Diceros bicornis minor: one gene and its partner. The protein of the gene in region 1 interacts with the protein of each later gene in a pairwise test. Links are inferred from orthologs where the notes say so. Each region holds a gene or a part of one and is shown in the gene's direction. Other genes may lie near its edges.

Evidence for each region.
Region 2: the proteins of PRAM1 (region 1) and SKAP1 interact in binary tests that used the Homo sapiens proteins (3 or more experiments, as listed by UniProt). The two-hybrid records come from large-scale screens. The link is inferred for Diceros bicornis minor from reciprocal best matches to the Homo sapiens genes PRAM1 and SKAP1.

The regions. Positions count from the first base shown.
Region 1 is NW_026691615.1:234,932-241,996, forward strand, and holds the start of PRAM1 (PML-RARA-regulated adapter molecule 1), read left to right. Parts: upstream 1-4,046; 5' UTR 4,047-4,061; coding exon 4,062-4,190; intron 4,191-5,451; coding exon 5,452-6,700; intron 6,701-6,789; coding exon 6,790-6,856; intron 6,857-6,931; coding exon 6,932-7,008; intron 7,009-7,065. UniProt on the Homo sapiens protein: May be involved in myeloid differentiation. May be involved in integrin signaling in neutrophils. Binds to PtdIns(4)P.
Region 2 is NC_080757.1:37,527,902-37,535,163, forward strand, and holds the start of SKAP1 (src kinase-associated phosphoprotein 1), read left to right. Parts: upstream 1-4,243; 5' UTR 4,244-4,358; coding exon 4,359-4,407; intron 4,408-7,262. UniProt on the Homo sapiens protein: Positively regulates T-cell receptor signaling by enhancing the MAP kinase pathway. Required for optimal conjugation between T-cells and antigen-presenting cells by promoting the clustering of integrin ITGAL on the surface of T-cells.

The DNA.
Region 1 (7,065 bases):
ACCCACGTAGATGCAGCAGCCCCTCCCATGGATACAAGAAGCCCACAGCCCCCTGCTGCCCTCTGGGGCAAGCTGAAACGGCCCCGAGGCCTAGGGAGCCTGGGTCACCACCTGGCCTGGGCACCCTGTCCACTCGGAAAACCACCTCTGACCCTCACCCCTGCCAACTTTTGTCCGCTCAGTTGGGAGGTCTTACTGCTCCCAGTGCCCCTTCTGGGCTCCCGCTGTCCTTGCCCTCCCTCTGGCCCAGCTCTGACTCCACAGAGGGTCCCCCCTCACCCTAACTCCAGGATGCCTGCAAGCCGAGTGCTCTCGGGGCCCGGCTCCGCCCAGCAGAGGGCGCCCAGGAGTGTCAGTCTGAAGGGAGAAGGAATGAGGGGGGCCACCGCCCGCTCCATCACCTGTGGGGGCCGGCTCGGTTACCCTCCCCCCTGACTGGGAGAGGGGAGGTGAAGGCTCCTGGGCGCGCGTCCCCGGACCCTGCTACCGACCGGGCCCGAGCACCCCCCTCCCGCGCTCCCGACACCTCCGCGACCGCGGGCGGGCTCGGCCGCCCACGTGCTCCGTCCTCCCCCCCGCGCGCTCGGACCACGTGGGTCTGAGCCCGGCCCCCCTGGCTGCCGCTGTCGCCGCCCTTGGCTCTGGCGCAGCGATGGGGCACACCAGCTTGGGCTCCCTCCGCGCGCTCGGAACCCCAACACCCCTCCCTGGCCCGCAGTTTCAGACGCTCGCCCCAACGAACCCCCGCAAGACCCGAAGGCGCACCCTGGCCCGCGCTCCCTTCTCTGGGCTTCCGGTTCCCTAGCTCCAAGTGGAGCCGCCTGTCCACGTTCACGGCCGCCACGAAGACGCCACACACGCAACGGGGAGTGGGGGGGGACGCGCCCCCTGGGGGCCGAGCCGGGAGCCTGCGTGCCCGGCCCACAGGGGCTCTGCCCGGTGGGACCCTCCAATCTGCGAGTTCCTGGCGGGGGGTGTCCACAGAGTGCCTGGGGAGTCACTAGCGGTCATTCAGCCCTTTAGCTTACCTTGACTGAGCGCCTACTGTGTGCTCTCGGCCAATAATCGCTGGTTCTTCATTCATTCTTCCCCTCACCGCACACTGGGAGGGTCAGTCAGCCTGTGACTGGTGCCGAGGACTCAGACCTCGTCATCCTTGGCCTCCGGGACTCCTGTTTGGAGTGGGACCCACATCTGGGAATGTGGCCCAGGATGCGTGTGTGTCGGTGCAGGAATGGAGAGGCACAGGCACAGCGGCTCCAGAATCCTCAAGCTGTGCTCTTAAAGCAGACATAGGAACAAGCAGGCAAGGTTGTTTCCAACTGTGCTGCCTGTGGCCTTCGTGGCAGGGCAGGTAAATGAAGAGCTCTTCAAGACAAATGAGCCTCCTTCTCTGTCTCAACTGGATCCTTCCGGATCCTTCTGGAAACATCTACATCCTTGCTACTCCAGGTGTGATCCTTGGACCAGCAGCATGAGCCTCACCTGGGATGGTCTGGAATCTGAGGCCCCTCCATGGACCTGCACTTAGTGGGGTCTCGAGGTTTCTCAGCTTAGCTGTGAGTTAGAATCCCCCCTCGAGTGTTTAGGAAATCCCCAGGCTCAGGCCACACTGCAGACCAATTTGGTCAGAATCTCCAGGAGCTTCTGTCTTTGTGTAAACTCCTCAAGTGATCTGATGCAGAGCCAAACTGAGAATCAGGCCTCTGCTGTCTCCAGGGCGGGGGAGGGGTTCCTTCTTCATCTGTGTGCCCGAGGTCACTGACCTCCTGGGGCCTGAGCCCTTCTCTGGCCGGGCCTCACACTCTATCGCACAGCGATGGTCCTGCCCATTAGCTTCACCCCCTCCTCGCTGGCCTCCCAGCCATCTCCATTTCCCTCCCATCCTCTGTCCTCTGGGAACCTGGGGTGCCCTAGATTCCCTCCCTCCCCAAGGGGCAAGGCCGTGGACACTACCCACCCACCCAACGCCAAATCTGCCATCCCAATTAGCCCTCTGCCCAGCCACAGCCATCCACAGTCCGTGTGACATAAAAAGGAAGTCCTGTTCAGAACTGGGGAATCGGACGGCGGGGAAGTGTTGAAATGACGAAGGCGGATGAGGCAACGAGCCAGAAGGGCCTCACCCGCCACACTCACCCGACTCCTGGGTCTCCCCGCCTGGAGCTGACTGTGCCCCTCCCCCACTGAGCACCTCTCCCGTGGAGGCCCTGGCTGGAGCGGGCCTTGGCCTGCCTCCGTTGGCAGGAGGTCCTGAGGGCCTGACACAGAGTCCCCGGTGGAGCCCAGAGGTCAGCGGAGAGTGAGGGGGACAGCAGAGTCGAGAAACTAGTGACTGGGTTGGGAATGTGCTGCCGTCCGATGCACCAGGCGTGGAGACAGTAGCAGGCAAGGCAGGGGCTTAAGAAGTGCCCAACAGGATCTAGGGACAGGCTGGGGCTGTCTCCGCCTCCTTTCCTTCCTCCTCTGCCCTCCCCACCCGCCAGCAGCCCCCACCTCGTGGGGCCCGTGGAGCAAAAGCCACAGTCACTTCCTGAAGGCAGCAGCCCCGGCTCGGGTCCCACTCGCCCCACGGCCCACCACCCGCCTGCAGCCATGGTGAGTGAGTCCCCAAGCCCTGGGAGGGCCCCCACGGGCCGGAGGCAAGGGGTGCTGTGGGTGGAAACTGGGGAGTTCCAAGAGGGGAGCAGCAGAGAGGGGCAGGAAGCCGTCTGGAAAACGAGAATGACCGTCACAAAGGCCCAGAGGTGGGAAGCATCCAAGACACGTCTCTGGGACACCTCGTGCTCCGGGGGGCTATGGTCCAGGCCAAGCCTGCGACCGTAAGGGGGACAGGGGGACTGCCGGGACTACTCCCCTCCCCCATGTCCGTGTGAAGAGCAAGTGGGTAGCAGGCAGCTATGATGAGCAGTACAGGGGCTTCCTGTGAATGAGAAATTGGGTTACGCACCTGCTGCCCCCCCGACCCCGGCAGTCATCCAAGGTGACCTGCTGACCCTGATTCTCTGGCCCTGTGGGTCACCTGGGAGCCCTTGCCCCGACCACCCGACCACCCGACCATAGTGGGGCTTTAACAGAGGCATTTCAGGCCCCAGAAAGGAGTCGCCACCTTCCTTGTTCTCGGGATGGGGAAAGCGAGGCACAGACAGGGGCACAGTCCACATGGTTCTGCCCCTCCCCTCCCCCAATCTCCTTGACCCCGGGGGAGATTGGGGGCCTGCAGCGGGGCCACCTCGGGGGTAATTTGTCAGGCAGAGCAGGCCTGGCATACATGTGCCTCTGCCTGTCTGTGACCGCTGGCGGCCGGTCGCGATGGCACCCAGGGCAGACTGCATGAGCCACAGAGGCTGCATGGGGGCCTGCATGCTGGGCCCCAGGGGTGCCGTCGACCGTGAGCGCCCCTGACCGCCAGCCTGGGTGTCTGGGCCTCAGAGAGAGACCCCACACCCACATCTGCCCCCAGGTCTCTCAGTGTCTCTCTGCATCCGTCTACATGAGTCCGTGAGGGGCAGGCTGGACATGGCTGAGTCGACGCCTGTCTCTGTGCCCTGTGTATATTCTTCATTTCAGCAAATGTTGACGGAGCCCCGACTGGGTGCCAGGCACTGGGAGGACAGCAGTGAATGAGCCGAGTTGCTCATTTAAAAAGCCATATGAGTGAAATAAATAGTATGATACAGGGCGGCAGGTGCTAAGAGAAAAATCGTGCAGGTTGGGGAGGATGGAGAGTATTGGGAAGGGGGAATTGTTTTTTTTAAATTAGCGTGGTCTGGGAGGAAGGCCTCTCTAATAAGGAGATACTGGAGCAGAGAAGTGGAGCAGGAGGAGGAGGAAGAGAACCACGCGGTGGGGGGAAGTGTCCCAGGCTAGGGGCGGGGGGGGGCGGGGGGGGGGAGGAGGAGGAGGGAGGAGGAGTTGGGGACCAGGTAGAGGTTGCTGGATGGACGGTTCAGGGCCTTCCTAGGAAGAGGAAGGAAGGCTGCCGGATTTTGAGCAGAGAGGCACAAGCCAACTCATGGTTAACAGGCTTCCCCCGGCTGCTGTGGGGGGACTGACCAGGAATGGGGTGGGGGGCGGGAGGCCAGGGAGGAGCCTGTTACAATAATCCACGCAACGGGGGACAGTGCTTCTGGCAAGTTCCTCCAGTGGTGACAGTGGTGCAGGCGGTGAGAAGTGGTTGGATTCCGGAGGTATTTTGAAATGAGAACAGAAAGGACTGGGGACCTAGGGGGTGCAAGAACGAGGGGATCTCGAGGATGCTCAGAAGGAAGGCACCACCCACTGAGGGGGAGGCTAAGGAGCAGCAGGTGGGGCCGAGGGAGGTAGGGCGGACAGGAGCTCAGGCCCTGAAGGGGTGAGGTCAGATCCTGATGGCGGGGAGGTCAGGTCCTGATGGAGGGAAGACTGGGTCCTGATGGGGGGAAGATTGGGTCCTGATGGGGTTGAGGTCAGGTCCTGATGGAGGTGAGGTCAGGTCCTGATGGGGGGAAGAGGGTCGGGTCCTGATGGGGGGAAGATTGGGTCCTGATGGGGTTGAGGTCAGGTCCTGATGGGGGGAAGAGGGTCGGGTCCTGATGGGGGGAAGATTGGGTCCTGATGGGGTTGAGGTCGGGTCCTGATGTGGGAAGATTAGGTCCTGATGGGAGTGAGGTCGCGTCCTGATGGGGGGAAGATTGTGTCCTGATGGGAGTGAGGTCAGGTCCTGATGGGGGGAAGATTGGGTCCTGATGTGGGAAGACTGGGTCCTGATGGGGGAAAGACTGGGTCCTGATGTGGGAAGATTGGGTCCTGATGGGAGTGAGGTCAGGTCCTGATGGGGGGAAGATTGGGTCCTGATGTGGGAAGACTGGGTCCTGATGGGGGGAAGATTGGGTCCTGATGGGGTTGAGGTCGGGTCCTGATGTGGGAAGATTAGGTCCTGATGGGAGTGAGGTCGCGTCCTGATGGGGGGAAGACTGTGTCCTGATAGGGTTGAGGTTGGGACCTGATGGGGAGGAGGTCCAGTCCTGATGGGGAAGAGGGTCGGGTCCTGATGGGGGGAAGATTGGGTCCTGATGGGAGTGAGGTCAGGTCCTGATGTGGGAAGATTAGATCCTGATGGGAGTGAGGTCGGGTCCTGATGGGGAGAGGGTCGGGTCCTGATGGGGGTGGGGTCGGGTCCTGATGGGGAGAGGGTCGGGTCCTGATGGGGGTGAAATCGGGTCCTGATGGGGGGAATGTGCGCTGATAGGGGGGAGGTTGGGTGCGCATTCGGAGCCCAAGCAGAGAGGTCAGGAGGGTGTAGTTTACAGGAGCCCATGGAATGTGGGAGTCCTCAGCCAACAGAGAAGAGGGCCAAGGGCAGAGGGTGGGGAAAAGGAGGAGCCTAGGGAAGGGGGTGTGTCCCCAGGGCTGTCTCTCCACAACCCCTGTGTGTTTGAGTCCCTGCCTGACTGGCTCCATGTCCCCTAGGGGAGCCATCAGGACTTTCGGACCCTTCAAGCAAAGTTCCAGGCCTCTCAGCCTGGGACCAGTGAACACCCCCAAAAACCCCCAAAGCCTGAGTTCAACAAACTCCTAAAGAAGTTTCCGCCGCCTGAGCTAAGCGAGCACCCCAAGAAGCCCCTGCAGCCCGAGTTCAGTGCAGTGCCCAGGAAGCCCCCGCAGGCTGAGTTCGCTGATCTCCCCAAGAAGCCCCCGCAGGCTGAGTTCGCTGATCTCCCCAAGAAGCCCCCGCAGGCTGAGTTCCCTGGTCTCCCCAAGAAGCCCCCGCAGCCTGAGTTTGCTGATCTGCCCAAGAAGTCCTGCAAACCCGAGTTCGGCGAACTCTCCAAAAAGTTCCCACAGCTTGAGGCCACTCTGTTCCCCAGGAAGCCCCCGCAGCCGGAGGCTGGTGAGGCCCCTCAGAAGACCTCGCAGACTGAGCACGGCGCACTTGGCCAGAAGCTTCCACAGCCTGAGCTCAGCCACCCTGCCAGGCCCCCCACAGAACCCAAATCCAGTGCATTCCCCAGGAAGTTCCGGCAGCCTGAGCCCAATGAGGCCACCCCAAAGCCCTCGCACCCTGAGTTCAGTACCTTTCCCAAGAAGCCTCCGCAGCCCGAGTTCAATGCGAACCTCAGAAAGCCCCCACAGCCTCAGGTCAGTGGCCTCCCCAAGAAGCCCCCGCAGCCTGAGTTTGGTGACCTCACCAGGACGTCCTCGGAGCCTGAGGTCAGTGTGGTTCCCAAGAGGCCGCAGCAGTCCGATTTCAAAGCGCTCTCCAAGAAGCCCCCGCAGCCCGAGCTGGGCGGCCTCCCCAGGACCTCCTCGGAGCCCGAGGTCAGCCTGCTCCCCAGGAATCTTCTGCAGCTCGAGGTCCGGGGGCCCCCCCGCAAGTTCTCACAGCCTGAGCCCAGCACTTTGCTCAAGAAGCACACGCAGGCTGAGTTCCTCGGGGGTCTCCCGAGGAAGCCCCCGCTCCCTGGCTCCGTCTCCGAGAGCTCACTGCCCACTGCCGTGGCGGGCTGCAGCCCCAGGTTCCCGCTCAGCCCAGGGTTTGGAGCCAGGCAGCAGAGGTCGGGGGCTCTCACTCCTAGCAGAGGGTCCAGGCTGGGGCTCAAACCCCGGCGGAGGCCTCTGCCCTCCGTCAGCATCCTGGGACCCCCTCCAGCCAAGCCCCCGCTGCCCCCGGGCCCTAGGGACATCCAGAGCTTTCGGAGACCCTCGGCGGCGGCCACAGGTGGGTCAGGGCGGCACAGGCGGCAAGGAAGGGGCAGGGGCTCCCTGGCGGTGCCTGCCCGCCTCCCTGCTGCTCCCATCTCCCCACAGCTCTGCGGAGGACCCACTCTTCCACTGGGATCCACTTCCAGGCCCGTCTGTCTGCCGACGCGCTGAAGTGAGTGTGGGGAGCGAGGGGCGCGGGCGCAGGTGGTGTGGCCGGAGGAGGCCCTCACCTGGGGTATCTCCGCAGGGCCCCGGATGAGACCTACGAGCTGTACGACGACGTGGAACCCACAGACGACTCCAGCCCCAGCCCCCGAGTCAGAGGTTTGTTGGTGGCGGGGCCGGGCCCACCACCTGCCAGGGTGCCTGAGGAGCGTTCAG
Region 2 (7,262 bases), on another chromosome or scaffold:
GGAATATAGGGAAAAATAATAAGGGGAGTGATAGAAAGATAAGATAAAGAACAAAGAAAGAAATGTTACATTTAAGATGGAGGAGGACAAGCAATGACTGCTTCACAGAGCTGCTCAGTGATCCCTGGGCTATAGTTACCCATCTCAGGTGTTCAGTTCTACAAGAGCTTTGGACCAGCGCTACAGAACCAGGATTCTGATGCCATGCAGCCCCTGGTGATCTGGGTAGCCCTGGGCAGAGCACTGGGTCTGTCCCTCATCTTGAATTTGACCACCCTGAAGATTCTGTGGAGTTTTAATAATCCTTCGTTCTGATCTGAGCCTGTGCCTCATTGAGAACCTGCTTTGGGAATGTTCCCTGATATGACATGAGAAACCGCTTATTTTGTTGTATGTATTAGTGCAGAGAATCGAGGCGTGTGAGCTGAAAGGGGAGACCATCGAAGTGCATTTGTGTGAGAGTGTGTAATACGACCCTCCTAAGTTGAAAGGTTAGCTAATGAGTAAGAGCAAGGCTTCTGGCAAGCTGTGGAAACCCTGCATTTAAGGCCACTGAAGTGATGCACCCAAGTGAGCATCTTGTATCCGTCTCCTCTGCCTCAGGGGTGGCATGAGGCTTGGTTTCCGGAGCCCTGCAAAGCGTGCAGTGAGCCTGGTTCTTGGCACCGGCAGGACACATCATCTCTCCTTCCACAGCCCTTAATGAAGTGTGCAGCTCTTGTCCTCATTAGGCCCCAGCATCGTCAATAAAAGAGTCAATAAACCTGGTTGATGGGGTTGGGACCAAGGGGCTGAGATGCAGTGGCCGCACATCCACAGGGCAGACGTCAGCTCTGCCGCGTGTCATGACCCAGCATCCAGAGATCAATAACCAGCTTGGAATAAAGGCCCACAGCCTGCCCTCCGCAGTCTCCTCTCTAGACCCATCGCACCCAGGGCGGAGCAGTGCCAGCCGGCTCCTGCTTTGCCTGCCGTTGTTCCCACCCCATGCCATTCTGGGTGCCAGATGCTTTTGTTTCTTCCTGATTGAGCTCTCTGGACACCCCATGGATGCATATTTAGTGAGTGCCCACCTGGCATGAGAACATGTAGACGGCATCTCTAAGCAGCCAAGAGGCTGGCATGGGCCCTGTTTTCTGTGTCTTCTGTCTGCTGACAGTGTGTGAGGGGCCCTGGTGGACCAGGCGGTATATTTCTTGCATGTTGTGCTGCAGGACTCCATTCCTGGCTGCTCTGCATCTCTTTAGATACCCTTATCTTATCTAATTACAAGGAATTTCAGATTAATTTCATGGCCTCTGCTCCAAAGGACCTCTTATCTGTGAGGGTCTTGTATTTTAACCTTGTCATTCTTTTGTTGTTTGTCTTTGCGAGGCAGTCAGCTAAGAAGAGGATGCTAAGATCTTGCTGGAATTGGGGCTGGGGGAGGGGAAGAAGAGGGAAGCAGACAGACCTGGGATTTGTGTATTCTGCTCCATCCCCCTGCCTGTGTGCAGAGACAGCTGGCTGCTTACTTCCATGACAGCCACATGGTACGCAGCCACACAGAACAGGACCTGGGCAGGGACTCGTCTGCTGCCAGCCTCTCTGGATCCCTTTGATATTTCCGACAGAGCAGTAAAGGGACCCTTGACTATCACATTTTGCCTTGCCTCTCTCCACCTCCTCTAAGACTCCTTGGTGTGGTTTCCATGGCTACCCCCAATGAGATTTGGCTTCCTGCGAAATTGGATTTCAAAGAAGGACAAGGCTTCAAAGGAATTTGTCCATTTAACAGAATGTCATTAGGAGTGAGGCTGACTGCTGAACCAGGGTTCTCAGATGATTAAGGAGGGGCTGCGCTCATGTGTGGAGGCAGGTTTCTGTCTGCAGTGAGGAACCTTGATGCAACATGACAATGCCGTATTGGAATCTGCCAGTCACCCACTGCACACTACCCAACTCTGTACCTCCCTCTACCCCGTCTCTCTAAAACCCAGATGTATGGATGGATGTAGAATACCCATGCCACCAGTTTCTGCTGCTTCCCTCGGTATAAGTAAGCTATGACAGGCAGTGAGGCCTGAGAGGATGTGCAATTGCCTGGGTTTATTGGTCTTTATCAAACAACTCATTCGCTTGTAGCCTATGTTAGCGTCTGACCAATATCCTTGAAAAAGAAGTGGAGGTTGTCAAATTTCCTTCCATTGCTGAGAGGGAAAGCAAGGCAAAGTGCTGGGGTTACACACAGGAGGGACTTTGTTTCCCTTGCTGTTTTTCAGAACAGTTAGAGTTATAGAAAAATTGTGATGATAGTGCAGAGAGTTGCCATAGATCTTCTCATGTTTTTTAAACACATGCCGTAAGTACTCAAAAATCATCCCAAAGCAGCTACAATTTTATAGAAGGAGCAGTGAGTGTGGTATAAACGCCCTAGCGGAGAACTGAATTGCTCCAGAGCCTGGAAGAGGCAGCCTGTCCACCGTTAACTTTCCCAGGGCAAGAAGAAGTTGCAGCAGGAGCCAGAGTCCCCAGAAACTCCTGCCAGCCTCTGTCCCCTCACTCCCACCCCAATTTGCTGCAACTTGGGGGTGGGTCATGTGAGCCTGAAACCAAGGCACCACTCCTATTCAGATTGCAGGGCACAGGCTCATAAAGATGGCTCAAAGTCACTGCAGCCCTTAAAGGCTCAAGCTGCCAACCGTGAGACTGTATCTCTGGAGGGGAAACCATGCCAGGAGGCAAGCATTGCTACCAGGAGTTCTTCTGGACACTTTCTCCTTGCCGCTCCTGTCCCCTTATCCACGGTTCCATTGTTATTTCCCCTGAGGCTGCTGTAAAAACCATTACCCCATCTTCCCCGTGTCCTCTCCCCTACCACTCCCAAACCTTCCCACATACTCTGTAGGTAGAGTCTGAGAATAGAAGCTCCGTTTTTTACAAAGAAGGGAAACGGTAGAGGTGAAGCGAGATAGGCAAGGTCACACACTATATGGGGGCTCAGGGTAGGCCACTCCCCAGCTCAGAATTTGCCAATGGCTCCTCAGTGCCCACTCAATTGAGTTCAAAATTCTTATTTTGACTTTCAAGTCCCTTCACAATAGAGCTTCAATTTTTCTTGACAACCATAATTTCCCTACACCATTCAGTAAAAGAGGGTTATTAGCCATTCCTCAAGCAGGAGAAGGCTTCTGCATCTTTGTTTACTCTGGTCCTTCCCCCTGGAAAGCCCTCCTGCCCCTTCAAAGTCTGGTGTGTTCAGAGCCCACCTCAAAAGCCACATGCACTGTTAAATACACATAGACCGGCCTCTCCCTCCTTTTCTTATATTCACCTCCCTCATTTTATTGCCCACTGCACCTTACTCCTTTTTCGTGGCACTTGGCCTATTGTATTTTTTTAAAAAGTAAACTCTTTATTTTGAGATCATTGTGGACTCACAGAAGTTATGAGAAATGATACAGAGCGATCCTGTCTATCCTTGACCCAGTTTCCCCTAGTGGTAACATCTCGCAGTATTGCAGCACCATAGCACAACCACGACACTGAGCCCTGCTGTCCCCTGAATGAGAGGGGGAGGTCTTTTCTGTGATCTTGCCCTTGACTTTCCTCTCTTTGTCAGCTCTGAGGGGGAAAGGGCTCCGTTCCCCTCTCCCTGAGCTTTCTCCCCAGGTTACCCCTTCCTGTCCTCACATCCTCTCAGCCTTAGGGAGGACGGGACACTTGGGCTTCCCGTGTCCACTGCAGCCATGCAGCTCTGATTCTCCCAGAATTGGTGGGTTTACATTACTTATGGAGATTTAAGGTCATTCCCTTTAAACATCGTGGTTTGCCTGAGATAGCGAACGTTCTACCCTGGTTTTCTGGGCGTGGACGTGCGAACTGGACTGGGAATTGAGTGCTGCAACGCTGGGCAGGCACTAATCTCTTCCTCGGATTCTGCCTCCTCGCGCCCCATTTAGTGCACCACGGTGGCTTTTAAACCTGCCCCTTGAGGCCGACGTCCAGTGCTTCGGATGGGAAGTCTCCAAGAGACGAGGTCCCTTTGAGTCGCGTGAAGTCTTTTGTTTTGGTGGGCGGGTCCTGGAGGGACACAGCTTTGGCCCTGCATGATGCGGCGCCCCCCCTCAGTGCACCGGCGCGAGTGGCGCGCGCACAGGTGGCCCCCACGCCCCGGGCGCCCCCCGCCCGCCGCGCGCGCCACTTCCTGAGCGCGCCCGGGTGCCCGGCCCCGCCCTGCGGCTCGGCCCCGCGGCGGCGGCGACAGAGGTACAGGTGCCTCCGCCGGCAACCCGCCGCCTGCCCGCCCGCCGACCTCGGCACCGGGCCTTCACGGCCCCCTCCCGCCTCCCACTTCGGCCTCCCCACCGCCCCGCCAAATGCAGGCCGCCGCCGTCCTCCCGGAGGAGATCTGTTGGCTCATGCAAGGTAACGCCCCTGCCCGGGGGCCAGGCCCCCTCCCCGACCGTCCGGTTGCTCCCCCAAGTGCTGAGCCGAAGGGAGGAAAGGAGACGCCAGGGGCTCCCGAGGCCGGGCTGTCTTTTCAGCTCCATCACTCACCAACTTCTAGAACCTCAAGGCTTCTAGAGTCTTCTACCCTGCAAAGCCAGGCTTTCATCCTCCCGCCTCAGGGGCCCTTTCACTCCGCTCAGTTCCACGCTTTCTTTTCCCTCAAGGCGTTCCACTTAACCTCCCTGGCTTCTGAACAAGTCCAGGACAGGTTCCTGGTCCTCTCTGCCACCTTGCTGTCTTCAGCCTGTCCCTTTCTCCTCCGGACTCCCCCTAGGTCTGGGGGTTTTCACCCGCCGCCCTCCCTAGCCCTGACCCCGCCACCTCTCACGGAAGACCCTCACCTTCTGCTTAGAGCTCCCTGAGGCTCTCGAGGGGCTGCGAGGGGCTCATGGCATCCTGTGGGCCAAGGCCTGGGGGTAGTTGTGAGTTGTCAGCGCCGACACCCCACGCCTGTGTCACCAGCCGGAAGACTTCTAGGGTCTTGTTATCCACCCAGGGCAGGCTGATACTCAGTACTACATTTCTTACTTTTCTAGAAGTGCCCCACTGTGGTGTGTTCACCTTCAAACTACAGTGCCTAAGCACTCCTTTTAAGAGTTAAGGCCATGCTCACTGACAATCCACACATTCTTCTGACACTCCAAAGAGACTTCTAGCTAATGGGCAATATCGTCTGCTCGGTTCACACTTTTTCTGGTGAAAGTAACTTGCTTTCCTGTAACTGACCTTCTGGGAAGGACAGAGACTTGGAATCTGTGCTTGCATAAGGGTCCCCGGAGGAAGCTGCTCAGAGTTAAGCCTTTTGGCATCTAAGTGACATTTTTGACACATATTTAACAGATGGCCTGCTTTGGGCAGGTCATACTTTTGGCAAGCAATATTTTTTTCAGTTTCTCTCAATTTAATTGGTTTTATATCTCCATTACCTTGTTATCTTGGTATAAATGCCTCCTAATCAAATATTTGGCAAGTCCTTTTGGTCTCTGTTTGTAGCACTGTTTCCATTCTGGATTGCTTCTATGTAAAAGCTGTCAACTAGGTATTTCTTTTGAGGTGAAGTTTCCAAAATCCATTTTACTTATGACCTGAGTAAATCTAAACTTCCAGAGGAGAAAAGTATTTACGGGGTAAAAGAGCATCATCTGGGTGTCTAGGAAGAAGCAATCCAACTTTTCCTTCTGCTATTGGTTCAATATTTGATATGTAAAGAGAGGCTGTAAGTGTCTGGTTTCCAGAAGAGAAGGAACTGGCAAAAAGTGTAATTCTGCCCTTGCATTTAAAGATATAACGTGATTCTTTTTATTGGTATCTGTCATTTGATGAGAGGAAACCTATTTTACAAGCTTGTTAAACTATACTACCGTTTTGTGTGCAGCCTTGGTAGAAAATTCCTTTTTCTTTCCAGAGGCTTGCAATGAAATCCACTCCTTCATCATTTTTGATGTGCAGTTCTTTATTGTTCAAAACTGACACTTTGGTAAACAACTCATTTCTGCACCTGCCACCTTCCTTTAGCTTAGATTATTTTCTTGTTAGCTGACTGTTTTTAATTGAAGTCTTCAGATCTCCTTCTAAAGCAGAACCTTTGTTTGCTGACAAGTGGAGCAGGGTATGAATGGAGATTAATTGCATGTCACATACTTCTGTATCAAACTTGCTGTGTCTTAACAATGTCTGTAGGTTCTTGGGTCTTTAGAATATATAGAGGAGTCTGAGATTAAATTTTCATGAGCTTTGTTGGTTGGTTAATGTATTTCTTTAAGGCCTTTTCTTAAAGTTTGCGATTAGAGTGAATCTGAAGCAGAGGAAAAAATGTAAAGAGGGGATTCGACCAATAATTCTATTGAAAAGTGTTTGAAGAATATGTTTTTGAAAGGTTCATGTAATCATAGCAACATATTGGTTATAGGTTTTGTTTTTTATGGAATACAGTCTGTGGTGTAGACCAGCAGAATTATTCATTGTACTGCAAATAATTTGTGGATATTAGAAACCCATAATGACTATCAGTTTATTGTCTGTTGCTGTTTACTTGTCTCCTCCCCCACACACTTTTTAAGGTTAACTGTTGACAATTAGAAAATATGTAGGTCCTGATCTCTATATTGTCACTCAGTGGAGGGAGTCACAGGGTGAGAGAGCTGCCTCTTTAGTGCTGCCACATGGCCGTGGGGGTGGAGTTTCCACAATGAATTACTACTTTCATAAACTAAGGCACGAGCATTTGCACAGTGATTTAACGCTGGCCATCACAGCCATAACTTAAGCATTTTTTAATTTATAACTACAAGCATAACTGACAGGGGCATTTTTTGACATAATGTGTGTGCTTTTAAAAATAAAATATGCAAAGCATTGTGAAAGGTTTATGCCAATATTTTGCATAATGAAGAAAGGAACAGAAATTCTGAAGGTCTAAAATTAATTTTATTTAAGGATAAATTTTTAAACATTTAAAAATGTCTCATTTGACCCAGAAACCCCATTTCTAGGAATCTGTGTTACTGAAATTAAGGGACATGAAGTATATGTACAAGGCTCCATCCTAAATGTCCATGAGTTGAGAAAGGTGGGGTGATGGTCTGAATGATTATCCATCTTCTGGAATACTTTGCCGCCATTAAGAAAGATGTGATGGATCTGTGTTTCTTGGCTTGGAAAGTGTCCATAACACTTTTAAGACTAAAAAGCCGGGAGCACAATAGTATATATAATATCTCATTTTTGTTTGAAAACAAAAAACACCCTCCCCCATATATTATATATGTTTG